2 linked regions of the Macaca mulatta genome follow. Each later gene encodes a partner of the first gene's protein in a complex. Links are inferred from orthologs where the notes say so. Each region holds a gene or a part of one and is shown on either strand. Other genes may lie near its edges.

What was found.
Region 2: the proteins of ATP6V1A (region 1) and ATP6V1D are in contact, whole or in part, in a cryo-EM structure (PDB 9B8P), measured with the Rattus norvegicus proteins. The link is inferred for Macaca mulatta from reciprocal best matches to the Homo sapiens genes ATP6V1A and ATP6V1D. Residues at the interface, in NP_001101788.1 of Rattus norvegicus: Ala366, Met368, Pro369, Ala370, Asp371, Ser372, Asp416, Ser418, Asp436, Lys438, Glu491, Gln494, Leu495, Val496; in NP_955418.1 of Rattus norvegicus: Lys4, Asp5, Arg6, Arg167, Ala171, Val175, Ile176, Arg179, Tyr186, Glu190, Arg194, Glu197, Tyr200, Arg201, Lys204, Ile205, Lys208.

Annotation. Positions count from the first base shown.
Region 1 is NC_133407.1:169,945,661-169,949,315, reverse strand, and holds part of ATP6V1A (V-type proton ATPase catalytic subunit A), read left to right. Parts: intron 1-1,572; coding exon 1,573-1,701; intron 1,702-3,655. UniProt on the Homo sapiens protein: Catalytic subunit of the V1 complex of vacuolar(H+)-ATPase (V-ATPase), a multisubunit enzyme composed of a peripheral complex (V1) that hydrolyzes ATP and a membrane integral complex (V0) that translocates protons.
Region 2 is NC_133412.1:140,512,342-140,515,996, reverse strand, and holds part of ATP6V1D (V-type proton ATPase subunit D), read left to right. Parts: intron 1-875; coding exon 876-943; intron 944-2,632; coding exon 2,633-2,677; intron 2,678-3,655. UniProt on the Homo sapiens protein: Subunit of the V1 complex of vacuolar(H+)-ATPase (V-ATPase), a multisubunit enzyme composed of a peripheral complex (V1) that hydrolyzes ATP and a membrane integral complex (V0) that translocates protons.

The sequences.
Region 1 (3,655 bases):
AGTAAAGCCTGCTTAGTGATGTATTATCCTTCAAACCTCATGCTATATAGTCTTTTTCTTGTTCCAGTTACAGTAGTGGTGATGACAGTTTTTTGATGTTTATGCAAATGAAAACTGTCAGTCACTGTCCCCTTTTTTCTCCCCCAAGAACTTGGTGTTTGAGCTTGATTTCATTGGCAAGTCATTAAAAGGTTATCAGTATCTTTTGCCATGCAGAGAAATAATTGTCCTCTCAATGATCATAAGGGTCTTTAGGAAGGACAGGCTAAACCCAAGAACTTTTAGAGAAAAAGCAAAAGAACATCAAAGAGTTCAGGAAAAAATACTCTGTGAAACTGTGTAGTAAACTGCTCCTGGAAACAATTTTTAAAAAAAAATTTTTTTAGATTTTACTTTTAAGTTCTGGGATACATGTGCAGAAAGTGTAGGTTTGTTACATAGGTATACATGTGCCATGGTGGCTTGCTGCACCTATCAATCTGTTATATAGGTTTTAAGCCCCACATGCATTAGGTATTTGTCCTAATGCTCTCCCTCCCCTTGCCTCCTGCAATTTTTAATTCTTAAGTACTTAATAAGGCAATGGAACAATGGCATCCTTTTTTGGCTTATGAAATATGATTTTTAAATTTCACTATCTCTGGTATTTCAGTGCATCTTAATTCTTAAGTAATCAGTATAGAGGGAAATATTTACAGAATGAATAAGTCTTCATTGTTTTAACACAGGTTAATTAACTCATAAAACTTTAATAGTTTCCACTGAAGTATTACCTGTTATATAGTTCTAATCAGTTGTATCACAAGGCTAAATATTAAAAATTGGTTTATTCTTACACGTGTCTAAAAATATGGCAACCTTTCCTTTCCTCCCTGCTAGAAAAGTAAGTTTTGCTTACTAGACAACATGGTCCAAAATAGTAAGTTCAGTAAATGGAATTCCATTGATAATTTCTTACCCAGTGGTGGTGACTGATTGTAAATATCCTTATGGCCTATGAAAAAAATTTTGTAGATGTGCGTGTGAGTTTTTCTAGTAGAGCTATTATTAGTTTTTCAAAAGGGTCCATGTCCCAGAATAGTTTTAAGAACCACTGCTGTAAGTTGTTAGAAAGTAAAGATGTTCCTTTAGGTCTGTCTCTCAAAGGAAATGGTAACAGCATAGCAAAGTGATAATTGTGTGGCATTCCACCATACTACTAGCCAAACCATTTATTCCAATTTCTACTTTTAAAAGTTTTTTTATTGTTCCAAAGCCTTCACTCCATATATCATAGCAACTCTCAGAACATACTTGAATCCTACCAGGTAAGTTTGCCGTGCAGAACTTGAAATGTTTGAAAAGTTTTCATGTATATTATGTAAATAAATAATCTTTGGCTTATCTGTTTATATTATACACTAAAAATGTATCTATGTGAAACTACCAGTATGTTCAATAGTAGGTTTTTATTCTTCTTATGAATATATGAGAGAGGCACGATACTGGGTTTATTGGGTGTTTTAATAATTTGTGACTATTCACAGAACACTAGAGTTTTAAGTCATCAAAATAGTCTTTTGTTCTCTTCAGTGGTTACAGCCTGTGACATGGCGGGTGCAGCCATGTATGAGCTGGTGAGAGTGGGCCACAGCGAGTTGGTTGGAGAGATTATTCGATTGGAGGGTGACATGGCTACTATTCAGGTGTATGAAGAAACTTGTATCCTTTTTGGCTCAATTTCCTGCCACTTTCTATATTTCAAAATTTAAGGATTTAGGCCAGGCACAGTGCCTCACACCTGTAATCCCAGCACTTTGGGAGGCCGAGGCAGACAGATCACCTGAGGTCAGGAATTTGAGACCAGCTTGGCCATCATGGTAAAACTCCATCTCTAATAAAAATAAGAAAATTAGCTGGGCGTAGTGGCAGGCGCCTGTAATTCCAGCCACTCGGGAGACTGAGGCAGGGGAATCGCTTGAACCCCGGAGGAGGGAGGTTGCAGTGAGCCAAGATTGCACCGCTGCACTCCAGCCTGGGTGACAGAGTGAGACTCTGTCTCAGAAAAGAAAAAAAAAAGTAAGGATTTAAGCCAAAGGTAGAAGCAGCAAAGCAGCAACAACTAATGTTATTAGAAGCATGAAATGCTGGTGTTGTGAAGAGACCTAAATTATACCGGAGTACGTTAAAGAAAGAGAGAAAGGTACTATGAATTAATATTCTTATTTTAAGAAATTAGTATCTTCTGAACTTTCATTGCTCTTACTGCTTCAGTAATTCATGAACTTCAGGGGGATCAACTGAACTTTTTCTTCAGTGGGACACATACTGTGGAAGAAAGCGTAAACAGAATAACAATATTGATTTGTGAAGTTAAAATTCTCCAATTATGATTTCGGTTTAAAATAGTAAGTCCACAAATAAATTGGTCACCATAATAGCACCGAGTGACGTATTACATTTCAGTTTTATTACTAGGAAAGCTTTACTATTTGGTTATCATAATTTTGGCTTTTAAACATAGTATTTATTTTCAATTTTCTATGAAAAATAAGCATAAAGGGTTAAGCCTAGTGAAGAAGAATCACTTTTTTAGTGCTTCTATATGTGTTTTACTTTGATTCTCAAAATCCCCATTAATTATTTGAGTATTTAATCAAGATTTATTTGGTATGATGTTTTTGGCCATTCTAAAACACATGCATGCAGTTAACTAGTCTCTCTATAGTACTAGGTGCCAATTTAAAACAAAATCATCTAAAAATTTTAAATAAAAACAGAAGTTTTTGTAGCTATGAAATTGTAACTAATCAGAAATATTTTTTCTATTGTTACTTTTATCTTTTGTTTAATCTTTTACATGGCTTGAAGATTAAAATAAATGAAAATGTAAACAGTGACAACCCTCCTTGCCTTTGTTGTCTTGTATCTAGCCATTTATCAAAACACATACACACTTCCATGCACACATGCAACCACATTTATAGCTCCCTTTATTGTATATCCTTCTAGTTTAGTAATTACAGACATGAGCAAATACAAATATTTGTATTTTTCTTTCCTTTTTCTCTCTCTATATGTGTTTGTTTTTTGTTTGTTTGTTTTTTTTGAGATGGAGTCTTGCTCTGTCGCCCAGGCTGGAGTGCAGTGGCACGATCTCAGCTTACTGCAACCTCTGCCTCCCAGGTTTAACCTATTCTCTGCCTCAGCCTCCCGAGTAGCTGGGATTACAGGCGTGTGCCACCACACCCAGCTAATTTTTTGTATTTTTAGTAGAGACGGGGTTTCACCATCTTGGCCAGGCTGGTCTTGAACTCCTGACCTCGTGATCCACCCGCCTCGGCCTCCCAAGATAGCATATTATATGTACTGTTATACACCTTGCTTTTTTTCACTTAAAAGTATATGTATTCTAGAAGATAAATAGATATGTGATAAATATAGTAAAATGCTAAAGGTAGACTCTAACTGGTAGAGATTGGAAGTCCACTGTAAAATTCTTTCAACTTTGTTGTTGTTCAGAAGATTTTCATAATCAAAATTGGAAATGAAAATACATAGTTTAGAGATATTTCTAGAGGAATTCATGATAACTCTGGTTCTTTTTTTTACAGCCATATAATAATTCCATCATATAAATGTACGATTATTTACTTAATATCTTAATGATAGAAGT
Region 2 (3,655 bases), on another chromosome or scaffold:
ACTTGGCTAATTAGGGGCCGAGGCAGAAGTTGTTTTCAAGAAGTTTCTGATTTTAGTCTTTTCCTAATGACATGATGCCTATTATCTAGGAGCTTTCACTGCTCTTGGGCCTTAAAAAGGCCCTTTGAAGTGGTAGGCTTTAATTTTTGCCAGTGCTGGCAAGATCACAGCTTGCATTGAATTTTCTAGCAGAGGGTGGAGATCAATAGTGTATAAGTGGTATGTGAGTGTTTTAGGGTGGTTATGGGAAAGACACTTTCTATAATATTTATTTTTGTTTTGTTTTGAGACTGGGTTATGAGACTGGCTAATTTTTGTATTTTTGGGTTTCGCCACATTGCCCAGGCTGGTTTTGAACCCCTCAAACAATCCTCCTGCCTCGGCCTCCCAAAGTGCCGGGATTACAGGCGTGAGCTATCGCACCCTGCCAGGAAGGCACTTTCTGGTAACATTTGAGAAGTCACACAAAGCCAGATGCAAGATGTTTCCAGGGTAAAGGAACTGAACGCCAGCTTAATCAATTCAACGGGAAACCTAGGAAGAAGTTTTCTCCATCTTACACTAGTAGAAGAACTCTTACGGTTACATCCATGTGGCACACCTCTGACTGAAAACATAAGCAATCCACGAACTTTAAAATCATTCTTTGTTGTTTTCTTACTGCTAATGTTTTGAATATTGTTCATTCTCTGCTTTCAGAGGCCCTCCTCTGGCAGTAATGATGTTTCTCCCTTTTTGGAAAGAGGACAGTTATCAAAACATACTTAATTGTGACATCTCACTCTTGGTCTCATTTAACGTAAAACTATCCAATGAGTCCCTAGAGGTTTATTTCTAAACAGTCTGCTAAATAAAGGCTTTCTCTTTTTCTGCAGCACTACAGTTATCCAAAATGTAAATAAAGCCCAAGTGAAGATTCGAGCGAAGAAAGATAATGTAGCAGGTAACATTTCAACCTTTTAGAAACTCTTTGGGGAGAAAAGAGGTGACATTTTAAAATTAACCTGTTTATACAGCAAGATCTTAATGTCCTAGTTTCTTCCTTCTACTTAGAACAAGTTGATTGGCTTTACATGTTAAAATCATTAACAACCAGGTTTCTAATTACTGAAAATAATTTGACTTTTGTATAGAAGTGAACACTTAAGAAGGCAGGGTCCAGCCAGGCACGGTGGCTCATGTCTGTAATCCCAGCACTTTGGGAGGCCGAGGCGGGCGGATCATAAGGTCAAGGAGTTTGAGACCAGCCTGGCCAACATGGTGAAACCCCATCTCTACTAATATAAAAATTAGCCGGGCGTGGTGGCATGCACCTGTAGTCCCAGCTACTTGGGAGGCTGAGGCAGGAGAATCGCTTGAACGCAGGAAGCAGAGGTTGCAGTGAGCTGAGATTGCACCACTGCACTCCATCCTGGGCGACAGAGTGAGACTTCATCTAAAAATAAAAAATGAAAAATAAGGCAGGTTCCGCTGGATGTGGTGGCTCACACCTGTAATCCCAGCACTTTGGGAGGCTGAGATGGGTGGATCACCTGAGGTCAGGAGTTTGAGACCAGCCTGGCCAAGGTGAAACCCCATCTTTACCAAAAAATACAAAAATTAGGTCAGGCATAGTGACTCACACCTGTAATCCCAGCACTTTGGGAAGCTGAGACAGGTGGATTACTTGAGGTCAGGAGTTCAAGACCAGCCTGGCTAACATGGTGAAACCCCATCTATACCAAAAAATACAAAAATTAGGCTGGGCGTGGTGGCTCACACCTGTAATCCCAGCACTTTGGGAAGCCGAGGTGGGCGGATCACCTGAGGTCAGGAGTTCAAGACCAGCCTGACTAATATGGAGAAATTCCATCTCTACTAAAAATACAAAATTAGCCGGATGTGGTAGCACATGCCTGTAATGCCAGCTACTCGAGAGGCTGGGGCAGGCGAATCACTTGGACCCAGGAGGCAGAGGTTGTGGTGAGCTGAGATTGTGCCATTGCACTCCAGCCCAGGTAACAAGAGCGAAACTCCTCTTAAAAAAAAAAAAAGAAAATTAGCTGGGCGTGGTATGTGCCTGTTGTCCCAACTACTTAGGAGGCTGAGGTGGGAGAATCACTTGACCCCAGGAGGCGATGGTTGCAGTGAGCTGAAGACCACACCACCGCACTGCAGCCTGGGCGACAGAGTGAGACTCTGTCTCAAAAAGAAAAAAAAAAGAAGGCAAGTTCCTAAATTCATTAATTGAAACGAATTACAATTCCAGACTTAAGCTCTTGACTTTTGAGTTCGCTGAAAAAGAAACACAGAAAACAGTGATTAAGAAACAGAACTTAGGCCAGGCGCGGTGGCTCATGCCTGTAATCCCAGCATTTTGGGAGGTTGATCACCTGAGGTCGGGAGTTCGAGACCCATCTTACCAACAAACGGAGAAACCTCGTCTCTACTAAAAATACAAAATTAGCCGGGTGTGGTGGTACATGCCTGTAATACCACCTACTCAGGAGGCTGAGGCAGAATTGCTTGAACCTGGGAGGCAGAGGTTGTGGTGAGGTGAGCTCATGCCATTGCACTCTAGCCTTGGCAAAAACAACAACAACAAAAAGAACTTAAAGGTTTGTGAATCCATATATGCTTCTATGTTTAACAGGTGTTACTTTGCCAGTATTTGAACATTACCATGAAGGAACTGACAGTAAGTGTGAAACTTTTTATATTACTTTGTGTCTCTGAGATTTCCTGTTTCCTCTTTAAATGAACTAAGTTCTGGAAAATGGTGCTAGATGTTGAGAGGTTCCTGAGTTAGAAATCCTTTTACTGATATAGTGAGGACAATAGTTGATCAATTAATCAAAAGGTCTTAAGGCCAGGCACAATGGCTCATGCCTGTAATCCTGGCACTTTGGGAGGCTAAGGCAGGCAAATACCCGTCTCTACAAAAAATACAAAAAATCAGCCGGGTGTGGTAGCATGTGTCTGTAGTTTCAGCTACTTTGGGGGCTGAGGAGGGAGGAGTGCTTGAACTGGGGAGGTAGTTGCAGTGAGTTCTGATCATGCGACTGCACTCCAGCCTGGGCAACAGAGCAAAACCTTGTCTCAAAAAAAAAAAAAAGGTCTTATGCTAGGAAGTCATAAAACACTGTACATACCTTAAAATATTTCAGTATTTTATCAGAAATATATCAATGTAGAATCATTTGCTATTTAAAAAATATAAGGCCTTTTGAGTATGAATTCACTGATTAGACTTCTGTGTTGTCTTTCTGCGTATCCTACACCCACAATGCACTGCTTATAATTCCCATTTTGGGTCTCTTTAAAGTCAAATAAGATCTTAGACACTAGGATGCAACCTGAATGCGGATTCTTTCTAGATTTTTATAGCCCACTCCCACTTTTTAAATAACTGTCTTATTCATTCCATTCCTAATTTGACAGCATATTTTCTTTCTAAAGTAAAGTATTAACTTTTTTGATAGAAACAATATTCTTGGCTAGGCGCAGTGGCTCACACCTGTAATCCCAGCACTTTGGGAGGCTGAGGCAGGCAGATTGCCTTAGCCCAGGAGTTTGAGACCAGCCTGGGCAACATGGTGAAACTCCATCTCTATCCAAAAAGTTACAAAAATTAGCTGGACCTGGTGGCATGCGCCTGTGGTCCCAGCTACTCGGG